Coturnix japonica: one gene and its partners. The protein of the gene in region 1 interacts with the protein of each later gene in a pairwise test. Links are inferred from orthologs where the notes say so. Each region holds a gene or a part of one and is shown in the gene's direction. Other genes may lie near its edges.

The links.
Region 2: the proteins of KIAA0408 (region 1) and GFAP interact in binary tests that used the Homo sapiens proteins (3 or more experiments, as listed by UniProt). The link is inferred for Coturnix japonica from reciprocal best matches to the Homo sapiens genes KIAA0408 and GFAP.
Region 3: the proteins of KIAA0408 (region 1) and VIM interact in binary tests that used the Homo sapiens proteins (3 or more experiments, as listed by UniProt). The link is inferred for Coturnix japonica from reciprocal best matches to the Homo sapiens genes KIAA0408 and VIM.
Region 4: the proteins of KIAA0408 (region 1) and ABI3 interact in binary tests that used the Homo sapiens proteins (3 or more experiments, as listed by UniProt). The two-hybrid records come from large-scale screens. The link is inferred for Coturnix japonica from reciprocal best matches to the Homo sapiens genes KIAA0408 and ABI3.

Annotation. Positions count from the first base shown.
Region 1 is NC_029518.1:53,662,378-53,669,935, forward strand, and holds part of KIAA0408 (uncharacterized protein KIAA0408 homolog), read left to right. Parts: coding exon 1-20; intron 21-364; coding exon 365-444; intron 445-582; coding exon 583-1,945; intron 1,946-3,831; coding exon 3,832-4,005; 3' UTR 4,006-7,558.
Region 2 is NC_029542.1:785,172-793,471, reverse strand, and holds GFAP (glial fibrillary acidic protein), read left to right. Parts: upstream 1-2,901; 5' UTR 2,902-2,933; coding exon 2,934-3,364; intron 3,365-4,057; coding exon 4,058-4,118; intron 4,119-4,282; coding exon 4,283-4,378; intron 4,379-4,446; coding exon 4,447-4,608; intron 4,609-4,729; coding exon 4,730-4,855; intron 4,856-4,970; coding exon 4,971-5,191; intron 5,192-5,322; coding exon 5,323-5,366; intron 5,367-6,025; coding exon 6,026-6,111; intron 6,112-6,262; coding exon 6,263-6,304; 3' UTR 6,305-7,373; downstream 7,374-8,300. Other genes in the region: kinesin-like protein KIF18B, read left to right, coding at 109-607, 713-808, 928-1,013, 1,250-1,347; Ig-like V-type domain-containing protein FAM187A, read right to left, coding at 8,197-8,300.
Region 3 is NC_029517.1:18,029,278-18,037,457, reverse strand, and holds the start of VIM (vimentin), read left to right. Parts: upstream 1-4,009; 5' UTR 4,010-4,091; coding exon 4,092-4,636; intron 4,637-4,692; exon of another isoform or gene 4,693-4,713; intron 4,714-4,730; coding exon 4,731-4,791; intron 4,792-7,996; coding exon 7,997-8,092; intron 8,093-8,180. UniProt on the Homo sapiens protein: Vimentins are class-III intermediate filaments found in various non-epithelial cells, especially mesenchymal cells. Vimentin is attached to the nucleus, endoplasmic reticulum, and mitochondria, either laterally or terminally.
Region 4 is NC_029542.1:2,999,388-3,006,322, reverse strand, and holds the end of ABI3 (ABI gene family member 3), read left to right. Parts: intron 1-684; coding exon 685-852; intron 853-1,266; coding exon 1,267-1,443; intron 1,444-2,019; coding exon 2,020-2,102; intron 2,103-2,243; coding exon 2,244-2,339; intron 2,340-2,708; coding exon 2,709-2,893; intron 2,894-2,991; coding exon 2,992-3,120; intron 3,121-3,301; coding exon 3,302-3,462; 3' UTR 3,463-4,890; downstream 4,891-6,935. Other genes in the region: PHOSPHO1 (phosphoethanolamine/phosphocholine phosphatase), read right to left, coding at 5,453-6,214. UniProt on the Homo sapiens protein: May inhibit tumor metastasis. In vitro, reduces cell motility.

The DNA of each region.
Region 1 (7,558 bases):
ATATTGGTGATCTCAATGTAGTAAGTAAAGTATTAGCATGTTTCATTTAAAAGGGTGAAAAAAATACCCTAGCTTTGGCCTCCTAGAGTTAACCTGATTTTATTCTCCCAGCAAGGTGCTGTCTCTACTTCCTTCCCAGTTTGCAGTTGATGTGTGTCTTCTCACTGTTTAAATGTGTTTATGCACTGTTTTAATGTGTGTTATGCATGCACCTTACCTCAGTTCATAACCACTCTTATATCTTTCCCTATACTGCTTTCTTCTGCTGTGACTATTAAATGCAAATCACCACAATTTTCAAAATAATTCTGGAGGTGCTATTTAAAAGGCTTATTTTAAAAAAACTATTCTTATATTTTCAAAGGCTCTTAAAGAACTTGCCAGAGTTAGTGAAGAATTATGCAGCTATCAAGAGGAAATTCGGAAGAAGTCCAACCACAGAAGGTAAAGGCATATTTGGATTTTTTATCTTAGAGGAAGAAACCAGGTTAAAGTCTGTGTTCCTGTTTACTTTGAAGGGAGGTTTGCCTCCTTTTTTGCCCTTTTTGCTCACCGCTGAAATCTCTTTCTCTTTGTGTCCAGAATGAAATCAGTTCCTTTCTTGGGGAAGTTTGAAGAAACCCAAAACACAGTTATTCTGCCTGAGATGAACAATCTGTCCAACAATGAATCGCAGTCTTCAGTTGCACTTGAAAAAGAAGAGCATAATAATAGGAAGAATCTGATGAGCTCCACCAAGGTTTTGAAGGATATGTCTTACAGTAGTCTTACTGGCAACGGAGGAGAAGTTTTCAGACCTTGTCAACAGAAAGAAGCTCCACCAGTTCCTCCACGAAGTACTTCTCGGCACTTAACAAGCTCGCTTTCCACAGTTGTGCAGCTTCCTGAAGCACCAATGAGAGATCCAGGCATCAAAAGCAATTGCAAGTTTCAGGACTCTAGGAGTGGAAGGAAACTGACAAATCCTTCATCTGTAAAACAAAATGAAACTAAAATGGCCTGTGCAAATGAGAAGCAGACTGGGAAAGGTCCTGTAATAGTAACTGCTGCAATACCTGTAACCAAAAATGAGTGCGTTGCACCAAGTTTCTGCCACAACACATGGGCATATGATGTTGGAAAAGACAGTAAAAATGAGCCTTCCCCACTGTCAGCCCAGAAGAGTTGTTCAGATGGAAATATGGCCCATAGTAACAGAATGCACCAGAAACAAAGTTCCAAGTCTCACTTCAGTCCTTATTACTGCAATGACTTTTATGCCGCTGCTGCCCTGCACATTGATCTTTTGGGAGACTCCAGTTGTGCTTTGGGAAAGGCTCAGAGAAATGAAACTTTAGCAGCGAAGATTGATGAGTTTAACCGGACTGTATTTCACACAGATAAACGTAACACTACTTTGCAAGAAAACCAGGTGACTCGGACAGCATTAGAAGATCACAAACCCTGCAGCCCACCGTGTGACTCTGCTATTAGCAGGACAGAAACTGTAGATTCATCTTGTGTTTCAAATCCCAAACTTTCTGCAGCAAAAGAACAAGAAACTAGCAACCCTAGCAAAGTTGTCAGAACAGGAGGGCAACAAAAGCAAATAAATGGACTTCCAAATACCAGTGGTTACAGGCACATGCTTCATGAGCATGACTGGAGACCGAGTAATCTATCCGGTCGCCCGCGTTCGGCTGACTCAAGATCAAACTATGGTGTTGTTGAAAAGCTTTTGAAAAACTATGAAAAATCTGCAGTGATTTCTCCATGTAATGCAAAATACTGCAAAGATAAGTGGACACGGGCAAACTCTGAATCCACTGATGGAGGTTGTGAGACACGGAATCAGTATTTAGAAATGCTTCCGTCTGAGCAAGGAAAGCAAGAATTTCTGAGGAATTCAGGCAGGCATATTGGGCAGCAACTGAAGCAAGGAAGGGAGAGACAGAAGTTACCAGAGGTAAGGTTCAGAAGAATGGCAAGAACAAAATAATTCAGTTTTATACTTGGCTTCAGATTTTAAAGTGAGGCAGACAATCATGATAATATAAAAAAAAAAAAACATAAAAATTGATAACTTAGGCCAGGATCTAGGTGAATTAGAATGATTTCCTTTAAAGATAACAGAGTTGTGAGAGGGCAGAAATCTGTAAGTAGGCATGACTAGCAAAGTTATGTGCCAGAGTGTAGCCTTTGCTCCTGCTACATAAAACTAGATGTTAACGGTAGTTTGGGGTTTGAACTAGTGAAAATTACAATCAGATATTCCCTCCCTTATTCCTTTAGCTGGATACTTGTTTCATAAGCCTTCTCAAATGACTTAAGACCACTCTGCCGTATCAAAATCCTCAAGGGCTGAGGCAGCATTCTTCAGAGTCCTGGTTGCTTCTTGGTTCAGGATTTCCTTGGTACTACCCATGAAAATGGGTTCTGTATTTTTCTTAGAGCTTCCAGGAATGACGTGACATCCATTTACTCACATCTCCAGGCTTGTCCTATCAGTTCAAGCATAGGCTCACAAGCGTAGAAGAGTATGGCATAACTAATTAATTTATATTTGGCTGAACTGTATTTGCAAAAGTTTAGAAGTACTGCCTCTGCCAACATTCTTTCTTAATGAAAATAGAAACAGATGTTTGTTTGTTTTTTAAGTATACTGTAAGCTACAGATTTTGTAAAAGGCCTCAGAGAAGGAAAAATCTGTTTTCCTGAAGAGCTCCTTGCCCTAAGGACACAAATGAGTGTGTCCTTCACTGTCTCAGAAATGAGAAGGCAAGTGTTTAGAGCTGAGGAACTTAGATGGATTCAGATTGTCATCTGGTGTGCCTTACACTGTCACACATTCACAGACTTCAGTGGAGGTATGTGGATTTAAACAGCTGAGAATCTGAGCATGTAGATTTTCTTCTGCATGATTTTATGTCAGCCTTGCAGTGATGCAACCTCTTGCTTAGCAGAAACATCTTCGTTACAGCACAGAGGAAAACACATGAAGCCTTTGATTTCTTTCTCATCCAGTGTAAGTTTGATAAGAAAATGGAATTTCATCAATAAATATGTAAGGAGGAAATAATGAGGAGAGAATGACTGAATTTGCATTGATGCAAGCCCAGAATAACTTTACTAAGACAGCTGGATTATTTTCTCCATAGATTCACATTCTGTGTTGTTATTTATGTTGTATAAATTAAGTGCAGAATACTGCCTGGTTAGGGGGTTTCATTCAGCAGCTTTCATGTCACAAAGATGTGAAAAACTACACCTGGCATGAAACATGGAGGTTTATCTTCATTATTTCAGATTTATAGTACTGTAGCTAAGATCAAGGTCTGTTGTTTTTCCTGTACATATAAGGCTCAGCATGCAGGCACGGCACCGCATTAATAAATAATCATTCTGAATTATTTACCAACTGTAAACAGCTTTGTGCTGTGCTAACAGAAAGAGAGCTCTTAGCAAAATGTGTCTTCTGAAATGGAAGCTATCAAAAATTACCTAGAAAGTACATAGATCATACTCTAAGGTGCTGAGAGCTCATTCACAAGACTTCCAAAAATGAAGGGAAATGAAAAATGAGTGTTCAGTTTTAACTTGCATTAACATTTTGTCCCTTTCCTTGTGTCTGACACTTGTCTCTGCATATTTTAAACTGCAACTGAAGTGAGAATCCCTATACATAGAAATGCCTGTTCTTTTGCATTCTGCACATTACTTTGTTCCTTTTAATAGCATCAGACCACCTGCTCTGTGGCCACCCTGAATGTCTTCCTAGATTCCCAGTGCATTCTCTGAAGGACTTTTCTCCTGTAACTCATTAAATCAAGGATGATTGCTTTTGTGTTCTAGATATCTGTGCCAGCTAAATGTTCAAATGGGAAGGGTTTCTCACGGCCAGCCCGACCAGCAAATAGACGCCTGCCTTCCAGATGGGCATCCAGATCACCATCAGCACCTCCAGCTGTGAGAAGGACAGCATACAACTGCTCTGTTTCCTTTCGGTCAGAGACCTCAGTAGTTTGAACCCAGAAACGGGTCGGATGGTGTTGTGAAAGCTCTGCACCTCATTTTAACTCTGTTCAGTATGTGTGGTAGCAACCAGATCTACACCGTCCTATCTTGTTCAAGAACGACTCCATCACATGCTGGACGAAATGGTTTGAATCTTAGGTCATCATCATGGTCTTCAGTGTTTTTATTGAGAGGAAACAATGATACCCCTGGTTTTCTCCTTTTCTTTCTTTCTTTTGTTTTTTGGTACTAGCTCACAGAGAATTTATTTTGAGTGGCATCTGTCTTAATTTGCCAATCAATTTTGAGTTGAAACAATGTATAGTGCTGTATATTCTGACTCTTCTGCAAACAGCAGAACATAAAGCTGTATGCATGATCATGTGTTTGTAGGTGCATGTGTTGGACTAGGAAGTATACAGGTCTGTATTTAGAAGAGACAAACTGTGCTAGCGTTGACATTGAAATTACAACAATATGCCAACATATATATATATATTTACTTTGTGTTTATTTTAAAAATTTTGAAATATACAGTCCTGATGACATTTATATTTTGTATATCTTTTACATAGGTTCACAGGTGTAGTATTTAATGTACAAAATCTAAATATGCATTTTTGTGACTCTAATTGCAGCGATTATGCCTTGCACAATATGTATCTGAAGCAGACTAGCTCGACTGATTTGTCAGTCATGCTTCATGGCATCCTTGTTCAGTTTCCTAATCCTTATAATACTAGGTCAAAATACCTAAACATATTTTTTCTGAATTAAAATATTATATGATTTGTAGTACATTAGCCTTTTTCAACACCAGAAACATTCCTGAAATGTTCTGATCTCTTTAAAAGTCTTTAAGCGTGCCATTATATATATAGCATACTGTAAACAGTTCAGCACTTCCAACCAGTGTAACATACAATTTATGAAGGGAAAAAAAGGGTTGAATGTGCTCAATTCTGTAAAACTTATTTTTCCTTCTAGCATTATATTTTGAGGTTTGGCAAAGTCAGAGAACAATGGACTTGTTTACTTTCACTCAAGGCAGGAGAACAAGGACTGTTGATCCCAGTGCTACAGACGCATGCCTTTTTTACTCTCCTCCTAGACTAGAGTGCCTGAGCCGCTTGCTAGCAGCATGCTGCTCCTTGACTGACTTCTGACAGTCAGTAATGAAGTTTACTTGCATTCTAGCAACACCTGCATCTAGTATGGAAGTACTGTATAGAGATCTCATCACAGTAGTGCCAGAAATCCTCGACAAGTGGTATCGGAAGTGTTATTGCCATCGCCTGACTCAGTATTTTGGGCCATCACAATGATGTATACAGAGCCTGGCTTGTTCCTCCCCACAGTGTGAAAGAAGTACGGATACTGACCAGACTCTTGCTGAAAAGATGAAGTCCTACATCCTGGAATTTTCTGCACCCTCTCCTAGGCTGTTGCTGGATGCGCAGGGTAGTAATGATGATAAATGGTACCTTTAAACAGCATGTCTAGGTTAAAAGGAGTAAAGAGGCCCTTCTTCAACATTAGCCTAATCTTGTCTTGCAAGTTTTTTTCTTCTTCTGGAGAAACAGTGTGTTCAAAGGAGTTTCAAAAATCATCCCAAGCTCCATTAACATGTGCGTCTTCATATGTGAATGTAAAAAGGAATTCAGAGAGAGTGTAGGCTTTTGTCCTAGTGAATTGTATGTTTGGCAATATATGGAAAATTAGTTGTGCTTAATTTGTTAGTGATATGTTGTCTTATCCCAGTCATGCTGAGAACCCTCACCTTTTTTCTTCTTTTTAGGGCCTATTCTTCTTTACGCAACTACTTTTTTGCAGAGTAAAAACGCAGCCAGCCATATGTTCCGAGCAATGTACCCACTATTGTAGGATCAATAACTCTTCAGGCATGCCAGTGTTGGATTGAGCAGGCAGTAGTGTCATACATCCAAAATTACATGAAGAATCATGGCTGCCTGCATGGCAAAAACATGCTCAGACTAATTTGGCCCGTCTTAACTTTCTGGCACTTTATGTGTGTTAGTATATATATATGAAGACTTCAAACAGATCAACAATTAATGAAAAACAGTTCAGATTTTATTACAAAGTTATTACTAGAAAAGACAGAAGACATTGAAGAAAATTCATACAATTTGGACAGAGATAAAAAAAAACAATGTTTGAGTGAAAAATGAAGAGTAATATCAATTTGTCTCTTTGCCCTAATTTAGAAATTTCACTCCATTAAAGTCCTTAGAACTAGAAAGATTACAGATGATTTACAGTGAATTTGAAACATTATTTAAGATTCTTCTAACTATGAAAACTAGCATACCAAAATACCTTAAATTGACCATTTAAATGCCTAAGTAGTCAGGCAACTTTAAATGTGTGTAGCTGACAAAATGGTGATATGAGAGAATGGTAAAATTATGGTCCTTAATTTCAGTCAATACTGACTGCAGTCAAGCTTATTTCAATTACCTTCATGGTAATGTTATGCATCTTTGTTTTGAAAAATGGTGGTACAGTTTTGTTTCAAGAACATAACAGTACAGAACAGTTTCCCTCAGTTAGTCAATGGATGTGTTTCTTTTGCACACTTAACTTTCTTTGATCGCTTTTAACATAATCACATTGTTGAATAACAGAGAAAGGATCAAATACCTACAACATTCCCTTATGTATGTAAGTTTAATGAACGGAAGATTTTTGAAATAAACTAATAGGTCAAGGACAACTTCATTTTGTCAACTTTTTCTGTGTCCACCTAATTACAGACATAGGTTCTGATGCCTGAAAGTATCAAAACTGGTGGTTTTTGTCTGTAGGTGGTTTGCTGGATATACTGATTTTAGAAACTTGCCACTGTGGCTGTTTAAATATTCTCTTCAGCCATACCCATGACAGGGCCTACGTACTGTGGCAAGTTTTTATTTTGCTCCCAGAGCAGTGATTACTAAACCATAGCACTGTCTTTATTGCATGTGTTTGCTGTAGGAAGAAGGTCCCCCATATGATCTCTTAGAAACTCTCAGGCAAGGGAGGATCTATGTCTTCACACAGGCACACTCAAAAAAGAACTATTGATGTAAGCATTGACCTTCCTTTAATACTGGTGTCACCTATGGAAGCTGATAGTTTTCCAAGTTATTTTTTAAAATAATATTTTGTTATTTTTCCATATGCCATTTGTATGCCATCTACCTGGGTAAGTGGCGGAGTCACTGGCCCTGGAGGTGTTCAAGAGATATGTGAATGTGGCACTGAAATACATGGTTAGTGGGCATGGTGGTGATTGGCTGATGATTGGACTAGATGACCTTTTCTAACTTTAATAACACTTATGATTTTATGGTAAAGTCTTAATGCAGATAGAGGTTGTTCTTACCTGTGCTCTGAACGAGTATAGACTCTTGCTACAGCATGGTTGTGGATGTTAATGCTGAATGCAGCAAGAAATTTTCAAAGTGTAAAAACCTTAAATGGAGTAATAGAAAGGATGGTTGAATCAACAACCTCACACACAAAAAGTCAGCTGCCCACTGACATATTTACAAGCTGTCAG
Region 2 (8,300 bases), on another chromosome or scaffold:
TTTGGTGATACCTGCTGGGAAATGGCAGCGTTTGGGGTGATGCTGAGGGCTGGGGATGTATGTGAACACTGCAGACGGTGCTGACTGTGCGTGTTGCTTCTCCTTTAGCATCACCCTCAGTGCTCAGCACTGAGTCCACCATCCCCATGACGAGAGCTGCCCTGCGCCGCCTGCAGCAGCTCACTTCACTCCCCAGCCCTAAAGTGGCGGTGAAGAAGAGGAGGAGATCTGAGATGAGCAGCACTTCCAGCCTGGAAACACCACGCAGCCTCAACACGCGGGCGAAGCGCCAGCGGAAATCCTCCCCACTGAGCAACGGGGATGAAGCGGAGGCGCCGTGGAGCCCACACACCCCGTGTGTTAAACAGCCCCAATCCACACAGCTGCTGCCGAGCTGCACCCCCAAAATCTGCCCTCTGACCGTCACCAAAGGGCGTGCGCCCCTCAGGACATCAGCAGCCCAGAACTGCTGCACCCCGACTGTGTGCGACCTCAATGTGACCTACAGCCTCTCTGAGGACGTCTCCAAGCCGGGAGCCCTCAGCCTGCCCAGCTGGGAGAGCGCCCCATGTGCCCTAAAGAAGCAGGAGGGCCCCTTTGTGCCCAGGTTGGTGCTGTACCACTCGGACACAAACAGCATCCTTAAGAACCTGCTCCTCCTTTCCCCTTTGGGTTCAGTGCTTTACCCTCTGACCCTTCTTCCTCCCTGCAGAACCTCCATCCCGGTGTTCTCCATGAAGGGTTCCTCCATCCCGAAGCCGTCCTCCATCTCCAAAGGGTCTGTGCGGAAGCGGAGGGGAGCAGTGAGGTGAGATGGCAGCCATTTGCTGCTGTGGATGCTTCCCTGTGGGGCTGGGACCCCCTTTTTGCCTGCTGGCAGCCTGGGGTTTATATGACCATCCCCACATGTCCCCTTTTCCTTCACAGCACTGCTTCCCATTCACTGGGTGGGGTCCAGAGCTGCATCAGCTCGAGCAGCAGCTGGCGGTCTGTGCAGCCCCAGAGTATCCCAGGTGAGTCCTACAGGAGTTCCACCCATCCCTGATGCAGTTACACCAGGGGCTAAATACCCGGTGTTGGTGTGTCTGGGGCTGTTGGGATGTGCTTGTTGGGTTTGCTGCTTCCTTCCTATGGCCACATCCTTGGGAAGGGGTGTTGGGGGTCTGGGCATGGCTGTAAGGCTGGGGCTGGCAGTGGGTTTGTAGGTTTTGCCTTTTCATCCCCTTCCTCCCTTTCTCTCCTGTTTCAGAGCATCCCCCTCCTGGGCTCACCTGGAAGGGTCGGAGCGGCCCCAGAGATGGTGCCCCCAGAGCCCCCACCTCACAAGCAATGAAGCTGCTGTGCTGATGTCCCTCACATCCAGGACCCCTCACGTGGCCCCACATGCAGCTGCCAGGGAGGTAGAAGGGCGACCACCCCAAACACTGCCCTGCTGTTCCCTGGCTGGTTTCCCTGCTCCCTCCTGCCCTCCTCCCTCTGCACAGCCCCATGTATTTTGTAGCAGATGGATCACTGCTGTTCCCTCTCAGCCCCTCTCGGGGTGTCGAGTGCTGACAGATGGGCAATGCTAAGCAATACCACGCGCTTTTAATAAATCTTACAGCTTAAACCCAAAGGAGTGAGGGAAGATGTGGGGCTGCTTCTCCCCCCTCAGCCTCAGAGCGGTGCTGGGCTCCCAGGGGTGGTTTTCTATTGTCCCTTTGGGGCTTCAGAGCATTTCTCCCTCTACTGTGGGGTCCTTGGGGCCACCAGCAGAGGTGATGACTTTGCACCGAGGCCCCAAAAGCTGCATGGCTGCCTTTGCCCCACAGCCCCTGGTATGTTCTGGCCCCGTTGTCCCATGCAGCGCTCCCCATAGGGGCTGGGGTCACTGCTCTCTGCCCTACTTTGCTCTCCCCTCTGTCTTCTCTCAGGCTGGAAGCTTCTAATTAAAGCTTCTACATTCGTTTGCCTCATTAAGGCGGGGGGGGGGGCTGGCTCTGTGTCCCCGCAGTGACAGCATCTCTGCTTTGATCCCATTGCGTGGGAGCGGGGAGAAAATAAATCCTGGGAGACCACAGTGGGGGCACCCTCTGCCCCATCCCTCCACGTGGATTTGGGGAAGGGAGGGGGGTCCCAAAGGGCTCCCAGTGCAGCAGCAGAGCTGTCCCTGCCCCACTTGGGCTCTCAGCACATAGGGGTTGTGGTTTTGCAGCTCTAGAACCAAACCTGGGGCTGGGGGTGCTGAAGGACGATGCCTGATGCAGGGCTGTGAATGCGGAGGGGGGGGTGTTAAGGGGCTCCCAGTGTTCCTCCCCATTGCTCTGGGCTGGGGCCCGGCCCTTGTTCCCATGCTAGTTGGGTTTTCTCAGCTGTTGGCTGCCATCTAGCTGTCACCTATGGGCTCTGTCCCCCACCCACAGCCACTGAGCTGATCCTGGTCCATCCCCGGGCTGTCCCCATGCCCGTACCCCATTGAGCCCAGCAATGTCCCTGTGCCCGTTGCCCCCACCCTCACCCCGTGCCCATTTCCCGGCGCTGCACAAAGGGATCTCATTGCTGTGCTGGGCACACTGAGACCTTTGAGACAGCTCTGGCACCACTGGGCTGGAATGGGCTCAGGACGTTTCAGCTAATTAAAGCTGGCCTTAATTAGCAGCCTTCCTGCTCTGCCAGGTTCACCCCATAGTGCCCCATGGCATCGCACCCAGGACCTACAGTGCCCCACACACCCACGCTGCCCCATGGGCACTGTGTCCCCGCTCTGCCCCAGCTTTTACCCCCTGCTCTCTGGGCACTGCCAGCACTATTTAGCACACAGGGCTGGCTGCCAGCCCTCAGCCCCCCCCTCCCCCCCGCTGGGTGCCACAAAGCCCAGCTTTGTGCTGCGTGGCCTCCAGCCAATGCCATGGCCATAAAACCCCACCACGGCTCACATCGCACCCACCTTCACCATGGAGAGCCGCTGGTCATCCTACGGCCGCCGCTCCAGCCCCACTGTCTCATCATGGAGCCCCACAGCGCGGCCCCGTCCCCGCAGCGCTCACCCCACACCCCACACATCGAGCAGGATGGATTTCTCTATGGCCAACCTCCTCAACTCGGAGTTCAGGGAGACCCGAACCAACGAGAAGGTGGAGATGATGGAGCTGAACGACCGCTTCGCCAGCTACATTGAGAAGGTCCGGCTGCTGGAGCAGCGCAATAAGGTGCTGGTGCTGGAGCTGAACCGGGTGCGGGAGCAGGAGCCGACCCGTCTGGCTGACGTGTACCAGGAGGAGCTGCGGGAGCTGCGGCGCCGCGTGGAGCTGCTGGGCACCGCCAAGGCCCGCGCCGAGGTGCAGAGGGACGGCCTGGCTGAGGAGCTGGGGAGCCTGCGGGACAAGTATGGGGGGGTCCTGCAATGGGGGATTGGGGGGTGGGGATTGAGGTGGCCAACAGGACAAGGATGGGGACCAGTTTGGTGGTGGGGAACAGAGCGGTGATGAGGATTGAGGAGGTGGTGGGGATTAAGGCAGACACTGTAACCAGGGGGGATAACGATGGGGACTGGGGTGGCCAATGGGACCAGGATGGGGACCTGCGTGGTGATGGGTGATGGGATGAGCAGCAGGGCCGGAGTGGAAACAGGGAGCAGGGTGGCCACAAGGATCATGGTGGATGACAGGGACTGGATCAAGGTTGAGAATGGGGACCAAGGTGTTAATGGGGATTTAGGTGGTACTGGGGATCAGAGTGGCCACCACAACCAGGATGAGGACCAGGATGGTGATGAGGACCGGTGTGCCCACCATGACAATAGTGATCCCAGGGACAAAGTTGTCTACTGGAACAAGTATTGGGGAGCCCAGCAGCACTAACAAGGTCATCAGGACCAGGATAATAACTAGGGTAGTGATGGGGACCAAAGCAGCCAGCAGAACTAAGAAATGGCTACTGGGATGGTATAAGTGCAGTGGGGTTGCACTAGGGGGGTCTGTCTATGGGGCTGAGCTGCACGTGGCCACCATGAGTAATGAGGCACTGTGCCTAACGAGTAATGGCACCTAATAAGTAATGCGTCACTGCTCTGTTGAAGGCTGCAGCAGGAGGTCACCCTGCGGCTGGAGGCTGAGAGCACCCTGGCTGCATACCGGCAGGTGAGGGTAGGGGATGGGATGGGGAGTGGGGGCCAGTCCTCCTCTCCTGGGCTCTGTGGACAGGGCTGGAATGGGATGGGATGGGATGGAGGGATGGGCAGGGATGGGGGCACAGACCCCCATGCCCACCCTGGGTACGATCCCTCCATGTCACCTGGTGGCAGGATGTTGATGCTGCTGCCCTGGCTCGCCTCGACCTGGAGCGTCGCGTGGGGACCCTGCAGGACGAGGTGGCCTTCCTGCAGAAGGTGCACGAGGAGGTAACGCTGCTGTGATGTGGGGCTCTGGGGGTGGATCCCATGGCTGTGCTGACCCCGCTTCCCTGCAGGAGCTGCGGGAGCTGCAGGAGCAGCTGGCCCAGCACCGGGTGCACGTGGAGGTGGACGCCAGCAAGCCAGACCTGACGGCAGCGCTGCGTGACATCCGCACTCAGTACGAGTCCATCACCGTCACTAACCTGCAGGAGGCCGAGGAGTGGTACAAATCCAAGGTGCGGGTGGCACCTTGTCCCCATATATCACCCCCATGGGTTGGGCTGGCTGCTCCTGTGGCTGGGTGGCTCTATGGGGCAGTGGCACTGGAGAGCTGACCCTACGGTGCGTCCCTTCCAGTTTGCAGACCTGACGGATGCAGCTGCCCGCCATGCAGAGGCCCTGCGTGCGGCCAAGCATGAGGCCAACGAGTACCGGCGGCAGCTCCAGGCCCTCACCTGTGACCTGGAGGCTCTGCGGGGCTCGGTAGGTGCCACCCATGGGGCATGAGGTGGGACGCATCCTTGGGTCGTGCCACCATGGGTGGGTGCCCATGGAGGGAGGTGGCATCGAGGGCATCACATCCCACAATGGTCACCAGAACGAGTCCCTGGAGCGGCAGCTGCGGGAGCTGGAGGAGCGCTACGCGCTGGAGACGTCCGCCTACCAGGACACAGTGGGGCGGCTGGAGGAGGACATCCGCGGCCTGAAGGAGGAGATGGCCCGGCAGCTGCGGGAGTACCAGGAGCTGATGAACGTCAAGCTGGCCCTGGACATTGAGATTGCGACCTACAGGAAGCTGCTGGAGGGCGAGGAGAGCAGGTGATGGACCCCCCTGTCCTGAACTATCTCGGGGCCTTTTTGGTGCTGCTGGGTCTGGTGAGCACCCTGCAGCCCTCCTGCTCACACATGGGGACCCAGTGCTCTCCCCAACGTTCCCATTGCTCCCGCAGGATCACCGTCCCTGTGCAGAGCTTCTCCAACCTGCAGATCCGAGGTGAGGCTGCGGCTGTGTGGGATGGGGGCAGGGGGGGCTGCCAGGTCTCTGTGCCTGAAGGGTCCCCCACAGTCCCAAGATATAGAGGGGATGAGCACGATGCCATGGCCACGTCCCCAGTGCCGACCATTCCCCAAGGGTCAACCCTGTTGCTGAGGCCAATGATGTCTCTAAGGCCAACCTCAACAATGAGGGTAATTGTGTTCTGAGTGCCAACTGTGCGCCCATCACCAGCTGTGTCCCCAGTACTGCCCTCATACTCAGTGTTGACCACAGCTCAGTGCCCACCATTCCCCCAAGCACGATGCTGTCCCTAAGGCCAACCACATCTCAAAGCAACCCATGTCACCAAGGCCAACACCACTGATGAAGCCAATCATATCCCCAGTGCCAACTGTGTCCCCAAGACCAGCCACATTCTGAAGCCAGACACATCCTCAGTGCCACCTTCATACCTAAGGTCACAACCCAGTCTCCAGCCACAAGGTCCCCAACCACAACCCAGTGCCAGCATTCCTCCTGAGGCCTATAGCGTTCACTCCCACAGATCAGGATTTTCCAGCCCAACTAGTTCCTTTTGGGACCCTTCAAGGTGTATGGGGTGGAGGGGTCATATATGGGGCACTGGGTCACCAACCTGTCCCATCCATGTCTCCTAGAAACAAGCCTGGACACCAAATCTGTGTCAGAAGCTCATTTGAAGAGAAGCATTGTGGTCAAAACAGTGGAGACAAGAGATGGAGAGGTGGGAAGTCTTCAACTGCGCCTTCCACACCCTTTCCCCTCCATCCTCAAGGTGTCCCCAAGGGGGGATGTTTGTCATGTGCACGGGCTCTGTCCCCAGACATGTTTAGATGGACTTGATGGGGTGACAGTCCCTCTCCTTCTGCTTCCAGGTGATCAAGGAGTCCAAGCAGGAGCACAAGGAGGTGGTGTAGAGTGTGTGATTCATAGCCACGCTTGTAGCTGTAGCTCCATAGATCCCACCCGATGCTGCGATGGAGCCCTGTGGTGGGGCCACAGCCACAGGAGAAACCCACCCTCACCTCTCCCACCACCCCATGCCCCAGGGACTCCTGTGCTGGTCTGGCCAGGGCTGAGATCTGGGGGCATTGCTCCACACTTCCCACCTTGCTGGTGCAGGAGACCACCTTGAGCATCCCAACCATGTCCTGAGCATCCCTGGGAGGGCTGGGGGGAACACAGCACCGCATGGTCAGGGATGTTTTCCTGTTGCCAAGCAGCAGTTGGGCTTAGCCAAGGCAGGAGGAAGAGGAGGATGGAGCATATGGGGAGGCAGGTCGATGTTGGGATGGGGAGAAGGGTGATGGTGTGGGGTCTGAGCAGGGTGCCTGGGGGTACAGAGTGGTTGTGGGGCTGGAGCAGCAATGGGCACAGCAGGGTGGGAGTCTTTGTTGGCTTTTCCAGGGCACGGTGCCATGGGACTGTTCTGACCCTAATGGTGTGTCCCCCACCACGGTGCTCCTATCTCCAGAGATGCAGAGACAGTCAGGGGGCTCATGGCCCGAGCCCAGCTCTGCACAGGCATTCTCGAGGGGCTGGAAGAAATCTTGTCCCTCAGCTCCACGTGGCCCTGTCTCCTGTGCTCTCTCCCAGTGCATGTCACCCACCTGGGGCCCCTGCAGACCCAATACTCACTTTGTTTTAGCCACTGACCATGAGCTAAACGTGCCCTGCTGCCACCTAATGCAGCAGCACCCACTCACCAGCAATCCCCTTGCCCTATAACGTGAGCCCATAGGTTGCTACATGGGTACTGCCTCCTCACCCTGCTTATCTCCACATCCTCTAGCTCAGCACAGAGCTTTGCAGCTCCTAATTCCACAGGGACTGTTCCCAGGGCAGGATGTGTTATAGAGTGATAGTGCTGCGGGTCACTTTGTCCCCCATGAGCTGGATGGAGCTTTGCAGCCCTTATTGCTACTGGATTAATGCCCTAATGTTGCAACAACACGAGATGCGAAATAAAGCCTAACACAAGTGCTATGTCTGTGGTTGTGACTGTAACCTGCAGGACAAGCTGCAGGGCGGTGTGTTTTTGGGATCAGCCGGGGCAGAGCTGATCAGAGCATACCCCCAGCTGGAAGGGGGACGTGGATCAGAGCCCAGCTCCTGGCTCTGCACAGCTCCACCCAAACCTGTACCCAAACCCTATGTCTCAGAGTGGTGTCCCAATGCTCCTTGAGCTCCAGCCCACCACGTTGTGGTGCAGAAAGAAAATAAAAATGCATAAACTCAGCTTCTTAAAAATGAGATTGCTCCAGCTGAGGATCTTGCACAAACATTGAGTGTCTTGAAATGTTGGTGCCCTTTGGGGCACAGTTGGCACCAGGAATAGGAGGGTCCTTGTCACTGCTGTTGGCCTTAGTGGGCAGCTTTGGGCTGCAGTTGGCCTTGAGGAACACATTTGGCACTGGGGATATGACTGGCACTTTTTAAAAGGTAAGGGAAGCCAGAATTAATTGGAGTAGAACAGTCTGGAGGATTACAGTGGCCTCTTAGAAAAACAGCCCTAATAAATCACCGACATGGCAGAAGAACTCCATGGTGTTTAGCCAGAAAACACTGCAACGACTCCAGCTATTCATTCAAACAGGATTACTGAGGTTAAAACCCCACCACAAGCCTTCAGTGTGGCCAGGAAGTGACACAGTGGTGGCAAATCCCTGCCACAGCGCAATGGGACTTTCCACTTTGGTCTTCATCACAGCACAACCCCGAGTGGAGGATAAGAGGGCACGAGCAGCATTTCTAGTGGTGAAAACCATAAATTGCCCATAAGGGAATGGTGCAAGGTGTAAGACTGATGCTATGTCCTCGCTGAGGACCGCAGCATCCGCCAGCAGCAGCGGCTCAAGTGGATGCTGAAGAAGATGGCCCCAATGAGGATGTAGCTCACACTGATGGCCTTGA
Region 3 (8,180 bases), on another chromosome or scaffold:
TTCAGTACCATATTTCTTATTTTTCCACTCAGCAATGAGATTTCAGAATTGACATCCTTCTGCTACTGAATTTGGTGCCTTTTTCCCCCCTCACAAAAATAGGAAGAAATGGGCCCTGATTATACCATGTTCATTTATTCTGATGTCTTCCTCAGTCTACGATTTCTGTTGCCCTTTCCATTGCCATAATTTCTCAGTTGTGTGCTTTGTTTTCTTATGTACGTGCATATACATGGCTACCCAAATACCTATTTTCTTATTCCTACTGCAATAAATGTCTCCTAAAAATCCAGTTTCTCTGAGTAAAAAGGACTTTCATGTCAATAAAAATTAACTGGATCGAAATAACAGTGTAACTACTCTCATTTACACTTAAAATCCTCATGCACCTCTCTTGTTCTTCTGTCCTCTGAGAATTCTGCCCATTTTGACTTCAGCAAAATGCAAGCTTCATAAAACAAGAAAAACAAATAGCTGAAATTTCAAACTACATTTTATTTTGGAGACCCAAATCAAGACTGAAGCACTTGGCATGTTCTGGCATTTAGTTCTGCTTAGAGTTTAAGGTTGAGCAGTGAGCCTCAGAGTATGTCATGCCTTTTGTCAGCTTGGAAAATCTTGTTCTTTATGTCCCAGTCACTGCTAAAGATACTGCTGAGAGTCATCAGTTAGTGCTACTGCCATTAAATGCAGTGAGTCAGAGCATTCCAGTTGGTTTCTTTTCTTTAAGGGAAGGATTACATTTATTGTTATACCTATGAAAGAACTGAAAAACTTCCAGTTCTCTGCTCTGTGCTGCTAGAATGTTGCATACTGTTGGAGACAACCCCACGACTTGGGCAGAGGTGTTCTGGCTTTGGAAATGATTGCCTGTTTCAGTAAAAGAGATACAAAAGGGGACAGAAAATACCCTGCTCTGCCAACCAGAAACCGTAATAGAGGGGAACTTTGTGTGCAACAGTAATAATAGCATGCAACTGGGCGGCACAAGTCATAATCAGAACACTTCCCCAGTGATGAAAGACCCACCGGTTTCATATCGTTCATCTGACATTAAAATACAGTACTGCAGAAAGACGTGGTTAGTCTTGAGTATGTAATGTACTCATTTCCTTGTAAAAATCAGTGGATACTCATAGACATTTGCTGTATTTTGTAACAATGACAACTACCATAGACAATGCAATTTGAAAAATAACTTTCATAAGAGAATTTTCAATTCAATTCCTGAGATCATAAATTCGAGTTATTCAGAAAAGGGGGCTTACAGGCCTGGACACACACTTAGGTGTTAGTAAATCTGGGGGTTCACAAACCCACAGCAGCTTCTCTCAAGGTTCTTGGGGATCAGAAGAAGCAGCTTTTCCTGAGGTGCTCTCAGCACAATGTACAGAGCTGCACCAGGCTGCGGGGAACACCGTCTTTCCTCTGGGCTCAGCTACACCCAGCACCCAGCCAGAGGGAAGGACTGCCCCAGCAGAACGGTTACAACAGAATTTATAACTATTTATTCGGAAACGAGAACCTGGGGCCTTTCTGCTTTCAAAACCAGAGAAGCCCGAGACTTCTCAAACGACAACTGAAGGAGGAAGTGCTCTTTTCAACAGAAGTTAAGGCGTTCAGTCAAGCAGCAGCCCCAGCACTTGTGTGTCTGAATATTATGGAGATTCCCTATTCAGCTGCTGCAGGACATTAACCCTCTTTCATATTCTCCTGTTGAAAAAGTCCCTCTTGCACAGAGAGCGTTCAATATTCATGGACCTGGGGGAAGTGTGAAGGAAAGCCTCTGTAGGCCGATGCCTTCCAGTCCTTGCTCCCTAAAGGACTCTGGGTTGCTTTATCAAACCGACAACAAAGGGAACTGCATTTGCATGGCAGGATGTTTTGGCTGGATGTCTTAGGCTTATGGGTCATTATATACTTTCAGGGGGGAAAAAAATAATCATTTCACACTTCAAAGCAGAACCCTCACTAAAAGTCTTTCCAGACTATTACAGGGATATTTTCATTCTTAGTGTAGCAGATTTTCAGTACATAGCAGTATATCTGTATCCTCTTGGCTGCAGCCATCAGCTCCCCTCTGCCCTCCCTCCTCAGCTCTCTGTGATTCCTGCAGCTATGGGAATCTGCAGAGATTCAGACTTTCCTGACAAGAACTGCAGAGATCTTTCACAGAGGCCAATTCACATTCCCCTTTGGGCTTGAGATGCAAATATGGGCTACATTCATTGCAGGTGTATAAGAAACTTCATTTCCACACCTGTGTAAGAGCCCACCAGCAGAAGGTACAGAGGGGTTTATTGCAGTCCTTATAACTGACTATCTTTGTATTGTTAGGGAAATTTCACAGAGAAACAGCAATGAGGCAGATGGCCAAGAGCACATATGGCACCAGTGACACAAACATATGAAAATTATATCCAAAACAAGAGGGAAAGAGGTCCTGTTTCTTTACCAGAACAAACACCTCCCTGAATTTCAGGGGCAGAGCACTGTCGGAGTGAAGGATGGCAGTTGCCATAAGGGTTTTGTGGAGCATAAACAAGCTGTGGGTCATTAAGAGAAGCAGATGGAGCCAAGTGCACCTTAGCAGCCCAGCAATCTGTGACAGCTCCCGGTGAGCTGAGTGCAGCATCTTCCCTTGGGAGCCGCTTGCTGCCTCCCTCTGAGCTTTTTGCCTGTGTTCCTTTACTTCTTATCGCCATCAGAACCAAACTACAGCACAGAAAGGAACACAGGCACTGAGCAGCCAACCAAAAATCTCCCACTACAACTTTAATTAAATATTAGGGCTCTGATTCTTCCCATAAGGTACAACACCTGAAGGGCAATAGCCAACCCTACTGTGAGCTGGGGTACAGACATCACTTCACTCCCTGCCCGCTGCTCATGTTTAGGTTTATCAGAACTCCCAACATAGACATTGCTTCTGCAGGGCTGCAAGTTAGAAAAACTAAATCCAGTGGTAGCATTACACCCCATAAGTGCAGATAGCTTTGCATTGTGTCAGTCACTTTTAGAGCAAGGAGGAGAATGGTGTCACCAATCAGATGCATCAGTGTGGGATAGTTCCCTAGGAGAACGTGCCTCGGGCTTTGGGCAGCCCAGCTTTACGTTCCCTAAAGGACAGGGATCTCACCACCTCCCTTACACCACTCCGCACTCACGCTTAAAATGGTCTTGGGGAATTCTTTTACTGCTGCTCCGGTTTTTCCCATCCAATCTTACGCCAACACTATTGGTTCTCCTGTCTCACTTGGCAGCCCGACTGCGATAGTGCAGTTGCAGTAGAAGCATGAGGCATGTCCTGCCTTTGAGGCTCTTTGGGGATCACTTCTAACGAGCTTTTTGTAAGAGCTCTTTATTGAAACAATGACCGTGTGCCTACAGAAACTAAAAGCAAACAGACCCTTGGTTAAACCGCTCCAAGTGACCAGGAGCCCAGCGCCCGAAGGCAGAGCGGTGTCCCTGCTGCAGCCGTGGCAGTGCGGCAGCGCCCGTCCGCAATGGGCGCAGCTCCGCCGGCATCAATGAGGGCGGGCCCCCGGGAGCCGCTGAGCCCTGAGCACGGGACGGGAGGCTGCGGGTGCCGTCGGAAGCAGCTAACCCCAAACCTATCGACGGTTCGTGTTTCTGTCTGCCCGCTTTGGATGTCTGGGAGCCCTTAGTGAATAGCGAGCATCGCTCCCCCGATCCCGGAGACTTTCAGCAAGATACGGAGAAAGGGACGGGGCTCGCACAAAGTTGCACAGACGCATTTTTAAGCGCTCGGCCCGTGCTGGGAGCGCTGTCGGAGCACCGCAGCCCGTCCTGCCCTCGGAATCACTGCGCTGTCGGAGGGGCGTAGGGCCCCAAGGAACCTCGGCAACCGCCCCGTGTCCCGCCGCCTTTGTCCCCGAGCTGTAACCACGGACCCCTTCCCCCCCAGCCCCTCCCCGCTCGGACGCGGCCATTGGAGACGGACGGGGCGGGGCGGGGCGGCGGCGCCCCATAAGAGGGGCCCCGAGTTGGGGCCACCGCCCTTCTTCGCCCGCCGCGCTCCGAGCCCCGCTCCGCTCCCGGATTACAAAGCCGCTCCGTTCCTTGCCGCCATGAGCTTCACCAGCAGCAAGAACTCCTCGTACCGCCGCATGTTCGGCGGGGGCAGCCGGCCCAGCAGCGGCACCCGTTACATCACGTCCACCACCCGCTATTCCCTGGGCAGCGCCCTCCGGCCCAGCAGCGCCCGCTACGTGTCCGCCTCGCCCGGCGGCGTGTACGCCACCAAGGCGACGTCGGTGCGGCTGCGGAGCAGCATGCCGCCCATGAGGATGCACGACGCCGTGGATTTCACCCTGGCCGACGCCATCAACTCGGAGTTCAGGGAGACCCGAACCAACGAGAAGGTGGAGCTGCAGGAGCTCAACGACCGCTTCGCCAGCTACATCGAGAAGGTGCGTTTCCTGGAGCAGCAGAACAAGATCCTGCTGGCCGAGCTGGAGCAGCTCAAGGGCAAAGGCACGTCCCGTCTGGGCGACCTGTACGAGGAGGAGATGCGGGAGCTGCGGCGGCAGGTGGACCAGCTGACCAACGACAAGGCCCGAGTCGAGGTGGAGCGCGACAACCTGGCCGACGACATCATGCGCCTGCGGGAGAAGTGAGTGCGGGGCCGGGGCTGGGCGCGGGGCGGGCACCCACCCTCACATCCCTCACCTCCCTCCCTCACGTCGGCCGTGTGTCGCTGCTTGCAGGTTGCAGGAGGAGATGCTGCAGCGGGAGGAGGCCGAGAGCACCCTGCAGTCCTTCCGACAGGTGGGCGCGGCCGCCGCGGGGCGCTGGGGGCGGAGGGTCGGGGCTGGGGCTGGGGGCTGGCGATGCGGGCTGGCTCTGCCCGCACAAAAGGCGCTCGGCGCAGCCCCTTGGTCTCCCCGTTGTTTTCTTTAGGGGGGTGCCGCAGTCCGGAGGGGAGGGTGAGGCTATTGTCCCACTTTATCCCGGTCTGGCCGGCTCCACAAAAGCGCTCCGACGTGGAATCGCTTTCTGATCCAATAGTTGTGAAAAGGCGCAGCCATCTGCGCGCCGGGCTGAAGGGTATTAATGGTTTCTATGGGATTCACCGAGGAATGCAGATCCAGGCATTATGGCCGGTGTGGTGGCAGCAGATTGAAATAATGGATCCCTTTGTGTTGGAGGGGAGGCTGCCGTGGGCTGCATTCCTACCGAATGTGTAATGGTGGGGGCACGTTCCTGGGGGAGACTCTGTAAAATACTGAACTCGGTTCTGGATGAGCCGCATCACTTTGCACACTCAGGAAACTGTCCCAGATTTGAAGTATTTCCTATCAGTGGTGTCTGCTGATCAGAAGCAGACAATGGGTTCCTCGGGATGAGCTCACAGCAGCTGTCTGTATCCCCTTGATGTGCATTAAGAATGTAGAATTCAATCCCTTATAAGCAAAGATGTTAATGTAAGATACAGTGCACCGGAGTTTGGTCTGTAGGAAGCTGCGGTGTCACACAGCTGAACCAAAGCCGATGTGACAGCCAGAACCAACTGTGAAGCCTGCGGAAAGTTCTGAGCTTAAGTTTTGATTTGTGCAAAACCAGCTCTTGGCGTGGATTGAGGGCTGGTTGGACGAGCAGAACTTTAGGAATGTGCCTTCTCAAAACAACAGAACTTCCTGAAAACTGCTGGGGTGAAAAAACACTGCTATCACTCCTCTGAGCTGGAAGCAGCTGCCCTGTATCTCCAGACAGCTGGGCGCAGGCTGACCATCTTAGAGCTCTGCATAGGCAATAGTAGGTGTCACCATGTAGGAAGCTGTCATTTGGTTTTTAGCATTTCCCTGGTGGTCTTAGTGGGGCAGTGTGGGAGCAGACACATGGCAGGGGCTGGGAATGAGGTGTCCACTGACATTGTGGGGGCTGAAGCTTGAAATAGCAGTTCCAGGTATTGCCTTTAACCCAGGCTGCTGTGTTACTAGGGCTGAGCCCATCCAAGTAGTTGCCAAGTCAGTGCAGATGCATTTCCCCTTTTTGTTTCAAATTACTAGAGTTCAAGCACAAGCTCCTTTGACTTAAAGCTAGTTCAATCATGCGTGCTTCTCTGGTGCACTTCAAGGCACGTCTTCCTCTCCCTCCAAGCAACACAGCTTTGTAAAGGCTGCGGGCTATTATGTGAGCTGTGCTGTGCGTGCCTCACATTCATTGTCTGCTTCCCTGCCCTGTCACTCAGCCTCCAGCTGCTCTGCCCATGCACTGAGCCCATGTAACCACTCAGCTTTACATGTAAAAACTGCAGATCATTGTCTGAGTTGATCAGTGGCACAAATAGTGCATGCTGCTGGGTTTGGTTTGAACAAAAGTATACCCAGTTTTTCCCTGCCACAACAGAGTAGTTCTAACGTGCAGATTTAGAAGAGAAAGTACGCTTGAGAGTTACTGAATTTTTTCCTCTAAACAAGAGATGCCACATTACTTTCCACGTATACTGCGGGGTGTTCTACATCAAATAAGCCTAGGGATTTGGTGACTGCTTTGTGCAACAAAAGAGGCATCATAATTAATGAGGAAGTTATGTACCGCAGCTTTGTCAGATGCTCTGACAGCAGGGAACAGATCTGAGCCCATGACAAGGCACACAGGTCAGCTCCTGGCTAACAAGGGCTTTCCTGAAATAAATGAGGATGTTCAGCCATTAAAGACTCTCTTCAGATAAAATCAATATGTAGTCAGTCCAATTACTCATATGTGTGACTGAAACCTTGTTTGCTCAGGCTATTAATACCTTTTTCATCTACATGGCTCTAAAGTGTGCAGAGTAAATGCACTTAGCGGAAATACAGTGAAATGCACATTACGTACTGAACAAGCCTCCAGTTTAAGATGCTTTCTGCATATTAGAGGTTGCTATAACTTCTGTAGCTCTTTGAATCTGGGAAAAAAATAATCCCTTTTAGTATTGAGGCTTGTGCAAAATCCACTGGCAAGTGTTTGGATTTCTCAGTAGTCATGTAAACATGTTAGGTCATAGTTGTGTAATTTCCTTCTAGAATGGTCTTGGAGTTTGGGAGGAGAACAAATGCGTTAAGGAATTCATTTTTTTTTCTGAACTGGAAAACAGAGCCAAGATGAACTGTGGTGTGCAACTGGAGTTGATAAGAAACTTTCGTAACACATCAAAGGGGCTTTCTGCTGCATATTGAATGCTGGAGAATTCTTCTGGTGCAAAAAACTTAATCCCGGGATAGGAGTAAACCAAAGGATGGCGTCCTGATAGTCTAAAGAAAACTTTTCCTGTTTCAGAGGTGTTGTAATAGTGAGTGCTGCTGATGAGTAATGTTTATGTTCTGGACAAAATACAGACTGGCTGTAATGCAAGTTGTGAAAACAGGATGCTTATATTAATACCATAGGAACAAAACTGGGCAGCCAATGTGAAAGGATGTCTTCCCTTTATAAAGTGCTTTACTCGTGTCTTTAAAATGTAAGAAGTTACTGATCCATGGTTAATTTTCAGTTATTTTTTGAACAAATTAACACTGTTTCCATGTAACATTCGTGGCATATCATCTCTTGTGCCTTAAATGAATTTTTGCTGTTGATTAAGACTATCTCTGTCCAGCAAAGGGTGGAGTATTTGCCAGCTAATGCGAGGGTGTAGGCAGCAGTGACTGACTCCATTTGTGTTTATGCTCATACCTTTTCCTCCAGGGACATCTGTCAAACTGCTTGGGGTAGTCTGTGGTCCTTACACACACATCCCTACATTTAACAGAGTGCCTTCAAGTTGTGATCTGCGGAGCCAAGGGACTCTGGTGTGTCACTGAGGAGTCCATAGGAGATGAACAAAATGTTCATCCACCATGATGTGTGTCAGCAGTAACATAGCAAAGATGACATCTTCATATGCTGCATAGTCCACAAAGTTGTGATAAAGCAGCATATAGTGATCTCTGAGGCTGGGGCTGGAAGGAGCAAAAATAAGATTACTAATTGTTCTCTTCTCTCTGATCAGGATGTTGACAATGCTTCTCTGGCGCGCCTTGATCTTGAGCGCAAAGTTGAGTCCCTGCAAGAAGAAATTGTCTTCTTGAAGAAGCTTCATGATGAGGTAAGCTGAATAATGAGGTCTGTGTCTGGGCACTGTCAGTCAAGTGAACAACTAAACTCTCTGGCTCTGGCCCCGAGTCCTAACCTAT
Region 4 (6,935 bases), on another chromosome or scaffold:
GGCAGCTCAGGGTCTGGGAGGTGCTGACAGTGCTCACTCCTTCCCAGCATAGGGTGGGCAATGGGCTCTGTGCTGTCCTACTCCCCCCTGTCCCTGTGACCTGCTGAGGGGATGGCAAAGGGTTGGTTTGGCCCCATTGGCTGGGAACAGTGCCCTGACCGGGGGTCTCTTGGGTGCTTTAAGGATCCCACCTTGGTAGCCTCATTCCCCCATGGCAGACCCAAGGGAGTGGTGATGGTTGTTCCCTCACCCCATCTGGGGCTGTGAATCTGCACTCTGTCCCATGGCCGGGCATTGCTGCTGCCTCAGTTAAGCATCATCCAGGGCTGGGTTGTTTTCTCATGCTGAAGCTTCTGGTCGGTTCACAGCCCCCCAGCTGCATCTCTGAAGGGGAAGCATGCAAAACAGCTCAGAGAACTGAGACTGCTTCCCCAGCTGCTGGCAGCGGGACTGGAACAGTCCCAACAGCACAGACCCTCCTGATCCCCTCTGTGCTTCTCCCACTGCACCCTGATGGTGCTGAGCATCGCTGAGTCCCACTGCCTGAGCTGGAGGAACTGTGATGCATTTGGAAAGCAGAAGGAAGCCCCTTTGCTCCCTTGTGACCCTGGTTTGGGTATGACGGCGGCGGCACTTTGTGCTCTCAGCCATCCCAGCTCATCACAGCTGTGTTTCACCCTCCAGGCAAGCGACAAGAGGAAGGCTCTGGAGGAGACGATGGCTTTCAGCACACAGTCCTTGGCCAGTGTGGCTTATCAGGTCAGCAGCCTGGCCACCACCTTCCTGCAGCTGCTGGACCTGCAGGCAGCCGAGCTGCAAAAGCTGGAGGCCAATGTCAGCTGTGTAGCCCAGGTGGGTCTGACCTCAGCCACTGCCATGGGTCTGTACTGCTGTGGGGTTTCAGCCCTGAGAAAGGAGCAGCTTACAGGGACTGGAGACCAACTTTTCTTGTGGTTTTAATGGCCTGTCAGCCCCTGCAGCACCTTGGTCACCCAAGAAGCTAAAGGACAAGACTACCGAGGGGTGGGAAACTGTTCTTAAGGGCTTGTCTTAGTCTGGGTGTTTGGGGACCATGGCAGCCTCTGGGGAAGCCCCCAAGGAGCTACCCTGCAGCAGTCACATAGGCTCAGATGCTGTTATCTCCCCTCGGTGGACACTGGCCTCGTCCCCTTGGAGAACTAGGGACAATGACTCAGAGCCCTGCAGCCACTCACTTTCTTCCTGATATTTGAGGGCTCCTTAGAGCCTTTCCTGCTGCCTCCACAGAGCGTTGACATGCACAAGGAGAAAGTATCTCGTCGGGAGATCGGCGCTTTGACCGTCAGTAAGAGGTTCCCATCCCACCAGAAGATCACATCCCCCCCCAACCCACCCTCCCTAGAGCCCTACTACAGGAAACCCCTCAACTTCAGCATCCTGGATGACATCGGTCACGGCATAAAGGTCAGCCTGGAGGGTGTCCCGTGGGTAGATGGGGGTTTAGATGGGCTTTATGTGATCTGGTGGGGGTACAAACCCCTCCTGGATGGAGAAAGGGGGTCTGTCTATGCTTCCTCCAGGACTTGTCCCAGTGGGGCTCATCTTGGTGCAGGAGGGGAATGGGACACTGACAATGCCATAAAGGCACACAGTCCCAGAGTTGCTTGGCTAAGGCTGAGTTGCATTACACCCACAGTGCTGTTCCAGCACTGAAACTGCCCCTGTAAGCTGCCCCCTCACCGGAAGGCGTCTGTGGGTTTTCAGCAGCATCAGAGCCACGTGCACAGTGTGAAACCGCTGTGGAGTCGAAGGGGAAGTGACAGTGCTGGGGCTGCAGTTCCCACGGTGGCAATGCCAGACAGCAGCACCAATATCTGCTTCTATCAGCACCAATATCTACTTCTATTAGCTGGGGCAGCCCCTCACCACCCCCCATCCTTTTGAGAAGGGTTCAGCAAAGGCCTTTGGGGCACTATAAGGGCATGGTAGGCATGGAGTGCAATGAACTTGTCATGTGTATGTGTTTTCTTCTGCCTGCAGGATCACAGCACTCAGCTGTCCAGGACAGGCACACTGTCTCGGAAAGGGATGAAGATAACCACACAGTCTGCAGGCACCATGGGGTGAGGCTTCTGGGATGGTGTAGAGTAGGGAATCTTTAGCTTGGGTGTCACTGAGCAGGGACAGAGCCATGGGGTGCACTGCCCAATGCAGCTGCCCTCTGTGTCCTGTCAGCATGGGCTCAGTGCCTGCTCTGTTGGCAGGAGGAGCACTCGTGTCCCTGAGCCCATCCAGCCCCCCGTGGTTCCCGAGGGAAAGCTCTCTGCAGCTTCATCTGCTTCCTCACTGACATCAATCAGGTACCAGCCTGGGCCAGGGGGGTGTCTGGAATAACCAGGGAGAGGGGGATCAGTGGGAATAGGGCAGCTGTGGTTACCCCACTGCATCTATTTGCAGAGAGGTTTTGATAAGCAATATTGTATTGGAGAGCAGGAAATTCACTGTGTGTATCTAGAGCAAAATAACAGAGATGGTTCCCAAGGGGGAAACTAAGGCACAGGATGGGGAAATGGCTTTGCACACAGATGCTGGGGTGCCTGCCCGTGGTGACAGCACTGGGTGTCACCCTGTTCTAGCATAGAGCAGACACCCATGTTCAAAGATGGGAGGGCTGAGACATGCCTCCCCACACACACATACACCCCTTTTACCTGACTCTGAATCCCCAGCTCAAGTGGAGGAGCCCCTGGGGAAGGCATCCCAGCACCACCCCCACTCCCACCCCTCCCGGGACCACCACCCACCCCAGCTGCAGCCACCATCCCACCCCCTCCACCTCTCCCTGGGGATCTGCTCCCACCACCACCACCACCAGGGGACCTGGATGTGCCCCCACCAGACTTCAGCCTTCCAGGTGAGTGCTGCGGTGTCTGGGGGGTGCTCATTTCAAACACAAATGCTGTGCTCTGCTCTGTATGGAGCCGCTTGACTCTCACTGAATTTGTTCTACAGTCTCCAATGACCCAGAGTCACCGCTGCCACCACCACCACCACTGCCCAACTTTGAGGATTTCACCCCACCACCACCACCACCAGCTGCAGAGGAACCCTCATGTGTCCCTGAGAGCTACTTGGATAAAGGTACAGCAGCTCCAGGGTCAGATCTGCTGAGATCCACCAGATTCTTTGGCCCTGGATGTGGTCACAGCACTGAGGATGTGACTGCCCCACTACAGGGCAGTGCAGAGGCTCAGCCCTTCCCTCCTGCCCATCTCAGCTGTCCCCACTCTTCTCCATGGCGTCTCTCCCCTTCTTTGCACAGTGCTGACCATCTACCCGTACACACGACAGAAGGACAATGAGCTCTCCTTCGAGCCTGGTGCCCTCATCTATGTCACACGGAGGTACTCTGATGGATGGTGTGAAGGCATCATGGGCGAGGAAGCAGGTTTCTTCCCTGGCAATTATGTAGAGCCCTTCTGAGCACCAGCAGCTCCCCGACCCCTCATCGCCCACCCAGCTCAGCTGTGTCCAGGAGGTGAGGGCTCCACTTTGCCTTTGACTTCTGGCTTTGCACAGCTCAGCCCCTTTTTGCTGCAGCCATGACATGACCCCATGCCACATGCTGCTGCCTGCACCCCACACATCCCCCTGCCTGCTCCCTGCACCTCATCCCACCCTTTGTCATTTTTTTTAATGACACCAGCAATTGATGATGATGATGATGATGCTGTGAAGGTTTAGCACTGAGGCAACTCCCTGGCCCTCAAGCTGTTGGAAATGGGGGGGTGGGAAGCAAGCTCTGAAATCCCTTGGGCTGGCCCTGGTGCTGCTCTTAGACCCCTAGGATTGACAGCAGAGTAGGACCAAAGCTCAGAAATCATAAGCACGAAGAGGAGAGCAGCTCTGGGGCAAGGAACTGCTCCCAGCTGCTTGAGAGGAGGGTGAGCCAGGTCTAAGTCCTGTACCAAAGGGGCTCCTGTAGGTCAGGCCCAACCTGCAGAGCACTGCTCATAACCCAATCCCACTCTGCTGCTCCCCTGGTCAGCTCCCAAGGCTGCCTTCCTCCTCCTGCAGCCTGAGGAAAAGAAACACCACGTGTGTGCACTTCAGAGCCATCTCACTTTCAGGTTTATGTTCTGGATACAAATAACTTGTGTATCTGTAATATATATATATCTATATACATATATATGTATATATATATATTTAATTCCATGGCTTTAAGTTCCACACAGTTAAACAGTGTCCAGAAGAGGAAGAACGAAGGAAAAAAATGAAATAAAGGAGGATCATCTCAGGGCTACTTTGGTTATTTCCTTACTGCTCTGATTTGTTACCAGGGTTCCTATGCTTTGGAGTAGTTACAAGCCACTCTCAGGGGTCATTTAAGGCTGTGGATAAATCCAGGAAGAGCCAACACCAGAGAGCAAAATACTGCAAGCCCCCCTCTATAGAGTGCAATTAGAATGGGCAGTTAACACTGTGGTGGGGTGAGAGGGTTTGGCCTCTGGGGAGCTGATACCAGAAGTGCTATAGTACCTCTATCTGCAGCTGGGGGGGGGGGTGGAATTTCAGCACCTCTGAACCAGGGCAGGCAGTCACAGGGCAGTCAATGCAACCCAGCAAAGATATGAACAGTCTGCACTGGGGATGAATTGGGGGGCTGCTGCCCCAAGAGGGGAAGCAATGGGGGAGGAAAAGGAAGGTGAAATCAGGTCTTCTTCCTCAAGCAGGATGTGGCCATTCAGCCTCCCCCCCAAAATAAAATGGGGTGAGGGCAATGGGAGCTAAAGGATGTTGCTTTGTATTACTTCAAGGTGTACCAACCTTCCAAAAGGTTTCCTTGATTTCTCATGACTTTTTTGTTGTTGTTTTTGTTCAGAAAATAAAGTCTGAAGGGATGATAAACTCCTTTGTGAGGCTCATCTGCTGAGCAAGGAATGGGGTGCATGGTGAGCTGGGGAACCTGGGCAACATAAACTGCCCAGATTGAATTTCTTGTGGCTTCCTGGAGAGGCAAGGAGCCCTTGGAGCATTGGGTTGAAGGCAACAGCATGCAGCTCCTGCATGGAGAGTGGAGATGGGCAGGTGAATTGGGTCAAGAGGAAGCACGTGCAGGGCTCAGCCTGCAGGAGAACTGGCTTCTGGATATTAAAGAACTGCTCTTGAGAAGTCATAAAGGAAAAAAACAACCCATACCATTAGTGTTGCCAACCACCAACAGCAGAGAAGCCATCTAAGCTGCATAGAGAGGACTTCATCTCAGTGTGGCAGAGGGAAGAGAAAGGGATGTGGGGGGAGAGAAAGTGCTTCAATCACTGGGGAGAGAGCTTAGAAGGCAGGAAAGCAGTCCAGGAATCAAAGTCCAAGTGAGCAGTGCCAAATAAACATGGGGTGCAGGACGTGACCTCCCAGCCTTCTCCCTTCCCAGCTGCTTATCATAAACAAGCCTCTTTGGAGCCATCCATCCTCAGCACTTCTTCTTGAGGAGCTCCTGCAGATAGCGGGCGACCTCAGTAGCTGACTCCCAGGGAACAACGGTGGCTTGGAAGGTTCCAGGCTGCTTCTTCTCCATCTCCTGGGTCATCTGGTGCATGGGGTAACCCTTCCGGGGGAAAGCAACGTCAGCTGAAGTCAAAGTCACTGAAGGGCAGAAGTCATTGGCACCATCCCCAACATAAAATACCCTCTCGAACTCCACCTCTTCCTGCGCCCTCTCGGCCAGGTACTCCGTTAGGATTTTGCGCTTGCACATATTGGCTGGGCAGTCAAGGCACTTGTGGCTGTGGTAGGGCCCCAAGGTGAAGTAACCCCTCTTGTCAAAGCTGGATGGGTTGCTGAAGATTTTACGGAAGAGGGAGTAAAAACCGGCCGCCCTCAGTTTGCTTTCAATACCAAACATGTTGGCGTCGGAGATGAGGATGATCTCAAAGAGCTCGTGGTTCTTGGAGAGGAACTGGAAGAGGTCAGACATGCCTGGAGACAGGGGAATGTTCTCATAGACGGCCTTGAAGTCCCCCATCTTGACGCCCTGGTCCCCCATGTAGGCCAGGACACGTTGCATGTACTCATTGTAGAAGCCTTCACGGAAGCTCTGTCGGATGTGCTCAGGCAATGCCTGCCCTGGTGCTGCCCGCACGATGGAGTCATCACTGTTCTCATTGATGATGGTCTCATCAAAATCAAAGACCAGGAGGTACTTGGGAGGCCGGGAGCTGGCCATACCAACACCCTGCGGGGGGGAGAAGAGCATCCACAGTGAGCTGAGCACTTGGCTTTGGAGCCAAAGGCAACAAACACAAGAGGCTGCCAGCGTTGCAATGCAGCGTTTCTCTGCCAAATTATCCCTGCCCACGTTTTGCCATGCAGCTCATTAACCCAGCTGGGGGGGCTTGGGGCTAATCCCCTGCTGACATACCTCAGCCCTGACCCTGGAGTGTTTATCCTTCTTATAAAGAGATCACTTTGCCACTGCTAATCCCTGTACTGCAGTCAAGGTGGTCAGTGTGCCAAGGACTGACACACGTCCTCCCAAGGGACATGGGGACAGCGTTGGTGTGTTTCCATGGGTCTTGGGGAAGGGGCATACAGACTTTGCTCCCCATCCCACTCATATCACACCCATGCAAAAGAATTTGTGTCCATGGAAACAAACCCCTCTTGCTGTCATCCTTGCAAGGACAAGAATGACTTTTCCTTGGAAAAGAAAAGACTTTGCAGGTTAATTTTGGTGCTGTCACCTGGATGTGGTTTCCCTTTGGGTTGGGCTCAGAGCTGGGGTCTGCCCTTCTCCCCAAAGTAAAACCACATTGCTGACAACACATAGAGCTGGACAGCTTCAGCCCAAGCCCAGTGCCAAACCCAGCAGCCCCCGCTCACCACCTGCCACCAATCAGACATGCAAGACAGGGACCTCACTTCTGCTCCCTGACCCTGAGAAGAGACAGAGAGAT